Linked DNA regions of Oryzias latipes. The protein of the gene in region 2 purifies or fractionates together with the protein of the main gene of each other region. This does not show direct contact. Links are inferred from orthologs where the notes say so. Each region holds a gene or a part of one and is shown on either strand. Other genes may lie near its edges.

Region 1 (3,819 bases), on a different chromosome or scaffold from region 2:
CCTCTTCCTCGTGGACCTCCACCTCCACCTCTCTTCCTCCCATCTGTCCGTCTGGGTAAAGTCCCGCCTCCTGTCATTAGCTCCTCAGTGGGGGCCAGTGACCAATCGCTGAGCTCGTCTCTGTGGTCCGACTCTGTCTCTGAAGCGTTGGAGGCCTCCGAGTTTGTGCCTGACCCCCCAAGAAGAAAAGTCAAACCAACGCCACGGAGAGACGAGGCGCCACTTGAGGGTCCTACCTGAAGTGAATGAAGCCCCCGCCCCTCGCCGCCCGCGTCCGCCTCTTCCTCCCGAGTAGGGCTTCCCTCCTCCTCGGCCCATCCCCAGACCCATGCCGTTATCGAACACGTAGGCTTTGTCTTTGGGGTTCCGGGGTCCCGACCCCCCTCCACTGCCTCCGATCTGTCGGAGCTGCTCGTCGATCTGGAGACGCTCCATGCGCAGCTGGTCCACCTCCTGAGGAGCGGAGGAGGAGGAGGAGGAGGAAGAGAAGACTTCTCATTGTGTGACGCCAAAAATCAATTAGCAAGAAACTATAACCAGCGAATTTCTGCTCAAATGTTTTATAGAAAGGATCAAAGAGGAAGGAGGTCTTTCTTATTGGAACGCTCCCCAAGAATCATTTGTTATTGAGTCACAGGATGAATAAAGTATCGGCAGGGCTCCACAACCTTTTTTAGTTGTCAGTTTAATGTCAGACAATATTTTCACGGACGAGAGAAAAGTCGGCATCTGATCACTGTTTTAGATTCCAATTTCTCCAAACTTTTGAGGGTAAAATGTCTCTCTATCCTCTGTAAAACCTCTGCAACTCATTTAAACTTTATTTATAAAGTAGATCTCACGTTGGAACCATTCAAACATGATATAGATTTTCCCCTAACCCATAACTGTCAAAGTGGAAGCTAAAAAAAAAAGCCTCGTCTAACTTTTAAGGTCCGATAATTAAAAAAAAGTTAAAAAACGGTCTCGAAGACTTATTTTCTATAAATGATAGGAGTCGTAAATCTACTGCTTGAGCAACTTAATTAGCAGCATCCTCAACATTAAACAGCCAGCTGCTGAATAATCTGCATCATTATTATAGTCAATGGGAACAAATATTGCAAAAATGTATTTAGAGTAAAGATTCCTTGTTTTCGTCTGTTAAATGCAGCTTTCTATTATTTTGAAAAAAAAAAAAATTGTTAGAATTCTTCGTCTCCAAACATGTTTCTTTCTTTTTTTCCTTTGCTATCTTAGCGGTCTCGTTTTAGCGGTCGGTGCATCCACTTCAGAAAGTAGCGGATGGATCTGACACGTGACGAGCGACCTATGCGTCAAAAATGAGTCAGATGTGGAGGAGAGAATCCAGTAGTTTTTCAAAATAAAACTTCCTTCAGAATCAAATCATAAATAAAATGTTTTTTTCCCTCTCTCTTTTATTTCCCCCCGGGGTTTGGGGACGGCTGCCGTACAGGTTGGTTTCACAGACCTTCAGGTAGTTGAGGTGATAGTCCAGCAGAACTGTTGCGTTGGAGATGCTTTCCTTGGTTCCCACAAAAACGAACGGCACCATTCCCTGCAGAACACAAGGTTGAAATGTTTATAAGCTTTTGCAGGATCATAGAAAAACGGTTGTTGATATTTTTGTCAGCTTTCTGTTCCTCCTTACTTCGTCTGCTGACGCCGCCGCCGCTGCTGCTGCTGCTGCTAACGGCTTCTTGTCGTTCTCGGGCTCGATGCGAACTCGCACCACGCCAGACTTATCCACCACTTCCTGGATCAGCTTACCGCTTTTTCCGATCACCTTCCCTGCAGAGAGATGAAAATCAGTCAGCTGATGACTTCCGGACTGAAGCCTCATAAACAGCGTGGGAACAGTGGGTCGTTGCCTCACCTACTAAGTTGCGGGGAACTTTGATGACATCTTCAGAAAACTCCAAGAAACTCCTGGCTATTCTCACAGCATCCTGCTCCTGGGGGGGGGAACGGAAAATGGTCTCAGGGAACCGTCTTTGACTGAAACACCACCGTCGGGAGAAACCATCAGCAAACCTCTCCGTAAATGTGGAACGTGCAGGTCTCCTCGTCCAGGTCGATGTTTGTGACTCCAGGAACTTTGCGAGCCTGCTGGATGTTGGCGCCGTGAGTCCCGATGGCCAGACCCATTAGATCTTCCCGAACCGTGAACTGCTCGTGAAAGCGCGACGCCAGCTGCCTGGAACTCTGGGAACAAAACAAAAAAAGACACAAATGAAGCCGTGTCGGAATGTCGGTCCAAAGCAGACGTGCAGCGTTTTTCATGCACTCACCTCTAGCTGCCTGTTGGCCTCCTCGTTCCGCAGCATGAGCGTCAGTTTGGTGCGGAGGCTCCGGAAGTGCATGTCGCTCATCATGTTGGCCCGCTTCAGTGTGACCTCATTCACTGACTGTGGACACATTAAAGGAACCGTCAGACACAAGTCGTCACACTTATCTGGAGTTTTTGGAGAGCCCATGACTGATTCCGACGGTTTGGATCGCTGCCTTTTCATGCAAGGTGCGTTGTTCTTTGTCAGTGAAGTCGATTCAGTCACCTTTTATTTCATGATACATGTTGGAACCAGACGTCGTCAGTAAGCAGTGATTGGACCAAGTCTGAGTTTCTATGGCAACCACTCTCACCAATCAGGAGTGAGCTTGTTGAAAGTCCACACCCCTACCATGTGACAGCGGCCTACACGAAATCTATCAAATGTTGCTCTTGGAGGGGCCAGCAGGCACTACCTACTTTTATTGCGGGCATCTGATTGGCCAGTTTATAACCTAAATAACTTGAACTACAAGGACAAATATCATGAAGAAGAAAAAAGAATAGCAAGAAAATGTTACATAGAAAGTAGCAGAACATGAATGGTTATTTATGTCCTAATAGAAGTTTATGGGATTTTGGCTTCCTGGAGTTGGCAGGTACTTCCTCTTTGGAATGCCAAAGGGGAGGGGTCACTCACTCCAGTTCTCATTTACAGTCGTGGTTCGTGCCAAGTCAACCACCGTCAGTCACACCAGATTTTAATTATTTACAGCACTTTATTTAGGCATTAAGTTGTTGACTGACAGTTCCTCTGTTGTCACTTATCCCCTCATGGTTTAGTTCTGCCACAGTCCTGGTTCTGTTTCATGTTCTGTTGGTTTATTTATAAAACCTCTTATGTTGCAGCCAGGCCATCTCATTACTTCTGTGTTGGAATTGTCCACAACCAGCGTTCCTGACGGCAAACAAGGCACTCGTGTCGCCAGAAGAGGTCTTAACAACAGATTGACTGGATCTCGGTCGACTCTGAACGTACACCAGAGAAAAAGCTGAACAATCGATGACTTTAGAAGACATAGTGTGTGGTTACATTACCCAACGGTTTTATCCACTTTATTTGAAACCAGAGATTTACATCTGTGGTTTTGGAATAATAGTAACAAGTGGGATATCAAAGTCAATGCTTATTACTGTTGTAAAAAAAATGGACCATTTTACAGTTTAATGAAATGGGAGCCGATATGCTTTTGTTACTTCCCACCTAGGAGTAATTTGGTGAACAAACCTGGTTTTTCCTTTTAGCTGAGATTTAACCCAGAAGTTAATAGATTGTGTGAAATCAAGAACCCAGGATTGCTTTAAAAGTCTTCTTTGACAGCTCTGATTTACTGCCGTTATCACCACAAGTTCAAATCCCAACAGTTACCTTCAAATATCCTTAATAAGTTTCAGAAAAAATGCACCAGGAAGGATGGAAGCATGTGTCCTTTAAACCACTTCCTGTTCTTTCTCAGTGTCTTTTTCTGTCTCCTTACATTGCTCGTGTC
Region 2 (3,819 bases):
CTATGGCCATTATGGGAAAGGTGCTACAGATCACTGAGCAAAAACTTCTGGACATTTATTAGACGTCTTTGCAGATGAGATGTGGGGCTTTACTTTGTTTTACTTTGAATGATGTTGCTCCAAGTGCAGAATCATGAAGATGTTCACCCACCATCCACAGAGAAAGCCCCCATTTTGGATTCCAGAAAGTCAAACAGAGTGCTTGGACCAGAAGGTCTTCCTCCAACCCCATCATCCTCGTCTTCGTTTCTGGATCTGCCTCTTCCCTTTCCTCTTCCTGAAGTCAAAATTAAGCATACAGCTCAGGTGGAGGGGGGGCTAAACAAAAACCACCACTTTACAACTTGAGAAACGTAAACGACTTTCTGAATTGATTTTGTTGTGGTTTGTGTACGAACCTCTGGGTTGGGACTTGTTTGATTCAGCCACCGTAGAGCCGGGTCGGCCACCAGAACTTCCGGTCAGTAGACTGTTTAGAGCCACTTCAACATTGTTGTTATTATCCAGCAGAGCTTGTCGAGCTGCCTCTCTGTCAAAGCCCATTTCCATGAGGTCTCTCAGAGCACGTTCGTCCACCTGCCCACCAACCACACGGAGCACAGTCAACAATCAAAAAACACCAAAGACGGGAAAAGTGTATAGCTTTGGAGAGAAGGAGTAGACTCATGGCTAGCAATAAATACGATGCATGAGGAACACCTCCCCTTTTTTTTTTTAAATCTAGCTTAAATTACAGGGTAGTGCATATTTCAATTTAAAAAGGTAGGCCTAATAAAAACAGGCTTATGTCTTCACGGGTTTAGATGTGTTGCAACACACATCTAAACCCGTGAAGACATTTATGTGTTCAGCCTAAAGCGGGACAATTACAACTTCATGATGCAAAGCAACAAAAAGAGACAAATGAACTCCAGCTTAGTTTAAAAACCAGACGGACCTCAAGTTCATTTACATTCTTTAACATTGGTCAATGTGTCAGACGACCTCTAAACGATGAAACAAGACTTCAGTTCAAAAATGTGAAGAAATAAAGAAGAGCAACCTGCTGCCTCCTTTAACGGTGCAAGGAGGCATTACTATTGTCAGGAAATACCCATGTATTGAACTTTAAACGTTAAAAAAAGTATAAATGTTGGTCATCTCACCAGCTCTCTGTAGTTTCCCTCTGGTCTGCTTTCTGTCTTTTCAAATTTGTCTTCACGTCTCCTTTGCTGGTTGGCATCTCTGCTTCGGGAAGAGGAGGCAGCGTTGGATAAATTACTGCCCGCATTCCCGCCGCCACCAAAGCTGCGGGGACCCTAACAAGGAAAGAGGAAGACAACAGTTGTGATCATGGGAAGCCGGGAAAAAGGAGAAAGAAAGGAAAATAAAGAAGAATATTGCTGTTGACATTGTAATTATAAGTTCTTCTTCTGATGAATGTTAAGAAGGTCCATTTTTTTAAACAACGAAGGTTAATGCAAATGTCAACAAACTGCATGTATTTGAGCTGGTAACCAAAATAGGTGGTGCATCATTTGAGAAAATAGAATTTAGTTTAAAGAATACAGTTTGTCTAAAGGCATTAAAGATGTGATGAGGAAGGATGTAAATAATGAAAATCCTGTTTTTTTCAATGTGCTTTCAGTTTTGTTGTTAAAGGGGTAAAAATGTGTTTTTAAAAAAATGTATAACCGCTTTGAAGAAAAAACAGCTACATGAGCATTTAGATTCCTTTCAAATAAAATAGCTACCCTCATTCTGGAAGATTAATTTTAAGCTTCAGAAAGCACCCAAAAGGGGTTACTGCATTCACATAAAATGGAAATCAGTGGAACACCAACACAGATTAAGGCTGCGTGATATTTGTGGGCGGAACTGTTGGGGCAGAGGAACCTCGCCCCTCTTTCCCCCGCCCATTGCTGGGTTTACATTCTCTCCCACTAGATTACAGCCCCTCAAACCCCCAGCCTAACATTACCGCTGCAATAAAAACTGGCAAGCAATTTTAGAGCTATTCAGCCGTGCAGTTCTGAGGCAGATTCCAGCTCCGATGAGTAAAAACAAAGTGTATTTGGATCTATTTGTCTGCAAGTGGATTGATCAGAATATAGAGGGGCAGGGGCTTAATTTTCCTTATATAAGTCCTCCATTGTGAGAAAAATGCCACAAGAACTCGTTAACAATATCAGAAAAACAAGTTTCATCGAAGCTTTAAGATTCTTCTATTTTTAGATTACTGCTAACACAGATTTTTAAGCTCTCTTGATACCTTTGTTGTGTGTTTTAGTAATTAATGTGAAACCGTAAAGTGACCGTAAAACATTGACAAACCTCTTTTGTCTTGGCCACCTCGGCGATCGCCGCTGTTCGCTGCTTTTCAAACTCGTCGTTCTCGTCGGGACTCTTGACCACATTCTGCGTCTGGAGGGTTTTCCTCTGGTCCAGTTCTCTGCTGTCTACCTCGTCCTTCCGGGCACACTTCTGCTCCGAGGACAAACACAGATCTCTGTTAGTCGTTTGAACAAAGAAACACTGTAACACAATACAGAATGGTGTCAAAACCAATTTAAATACATTTCCTTGGTGATATGCAAATATCAGTGATACACAACAGCTCAACAATAGAGAAAAAAGGAATTCAAAGGAAATGCCAAATTTTCACACAATTTAAAAGAGACTATATTTCTCAAAGAAGTTTAGAATATTTAGAGTTTGCAGAAAAATGGGCCATATCTTCTACAACTCAGACTTTCTAATGTCTTGTGCAACAAACTGAAAATAAGTCTGGTTCTAGTAAAGCACAGAGCAGATTTACTCAAAGATTTCTTCAGCTGTAGACAAATTCAAAAAAATGGAATTGGATAAAAAAGGATTCCTAGAGACAACATCCAGATATTAAACACATTAGGAATGCAAAGTTGTAAATTAAAAAAAATGTCAATTCCAGAGCAGATAAAGATGCTAAACCTTGACACAAAATCACTCACATTTTAACCTTTTAAAACACACAAAATTAAAAGAAAAATTAAAAAATAAAAGCATTTATGCTTTTGTTTCCACTTTTAAACTTTGAATAGAAAGCAACTATTTGTCAATTTAAAGTGTACAAGTGGACACGTACGCTATATTACCCACTTAAAGATTACTCACAGAAACATGCCATATTTTCTTTCTTTGCTGTTTTTCTTTTAAATTCCAGACACTTTTGTATAAAACCCTAATGCAGCATTTGCACCACGGGTTATAGGTAAGGCCCAAAGCTGAACTGTAGATCTGTCCAACTATTTCAAAGATTTATGAAGACAATGCTTCAAAAGATCAAAGGAAACACTGCGGGGAAAAGAAACTCAAGGCCAGACCTGTCTGACTTGTTGAATACCTTCATCATTCCCAGCTTTCCTTAAAGCTGCGGCTGAAATTCCATTTCTTAAACATCCGTGCTTAAAGCTGGCCTTTTCTAGACACAAGTTGAAGTTTGTTTAAAAGCGTGCAGGACTTTTTCGCACCTGACCAAATGGTACAAAGGGAGGTGGGCCCCCTTCTGCTCCGATGTTGCTCCTGCTGTGTTTTGCCAAACTCTGCAAGGTGAGGAAGAAAGACAACTCCATGTTCAAAGCTATGTAAGCCCAAATGAAATAAAAAGAGCAATGATTGCTAAAATTAGATATTGTCTTTTAAGCCAAAAAAAAAACAATCTCACCCTTTGGAGCTCCCATTTCTCCACCATGTGCTCAACTTCTCCTCCAAGGACTAAGATGTTTGAATCTTCAAGAAGCAAACAACCATTTTTAACCTGGACTGTACCAAGAAGCTTCACCTTTGTTCCGGGGGGTGTAT

What was found.
Region 1: the proteins of tdrd3 (region 2) and fmr1 purify together in Homo sapiens (affinity purification with mass spectrometry; 4 studies listed by BioGRID and IntAct, with this or other methods). This does not show direct contact. The link is inferred for Oryzias latipes from reciprocal best matches to the Homo sapiens genes TDRD3 and FMR1.

Annotation. Positions count from the first base shown.
Region 1 is NC_019868.2:25,375,335-25,379,153, reverse strand, and holds part of fmr1 (synaptic functional regulator FMR1), read right to left. Parts: intron 2,409-3,819; coding exon 2,292-2,408; intron 2,206-2,291; coding exon 2,035-2,205; intron 1,956-2,034; coding exon 1,877-1,955; intron 1,792-1,876; coding exon 1,652-1,791; intron 1,559-1,651; coding exon 1,472-1,558; intron 454-1,471; coding exon 237-453; intron 170-236; coding exon 1-169.
Region 2 is NC_019861.2:15,649,121-15,652,939, forward strand, and holds part of tdrd3 (tudor domain-containing protein 3), read right to left. Parts: coding exon 3,683-3,819; intron 3,561-3,682; coding exon 3,489-3,560; intron 2,464-3,488; coding exon 2,314-2,463; intron 1,299-2,313; coding exon 1,146-1,298; intron 577-1,145; coding exon 399-576; intron 278-398; coding exon 152-277; intron 1-151. UniProt on the Homo sapiens protein: Scaffolding protein that specifically recognizes and binds dimethylarginine-containing proteins. Plays a role in the regulation of translation of target mRNAs by binding Arg/Gly-rich motifs (GAR) in dimethylarginine-containing proteins.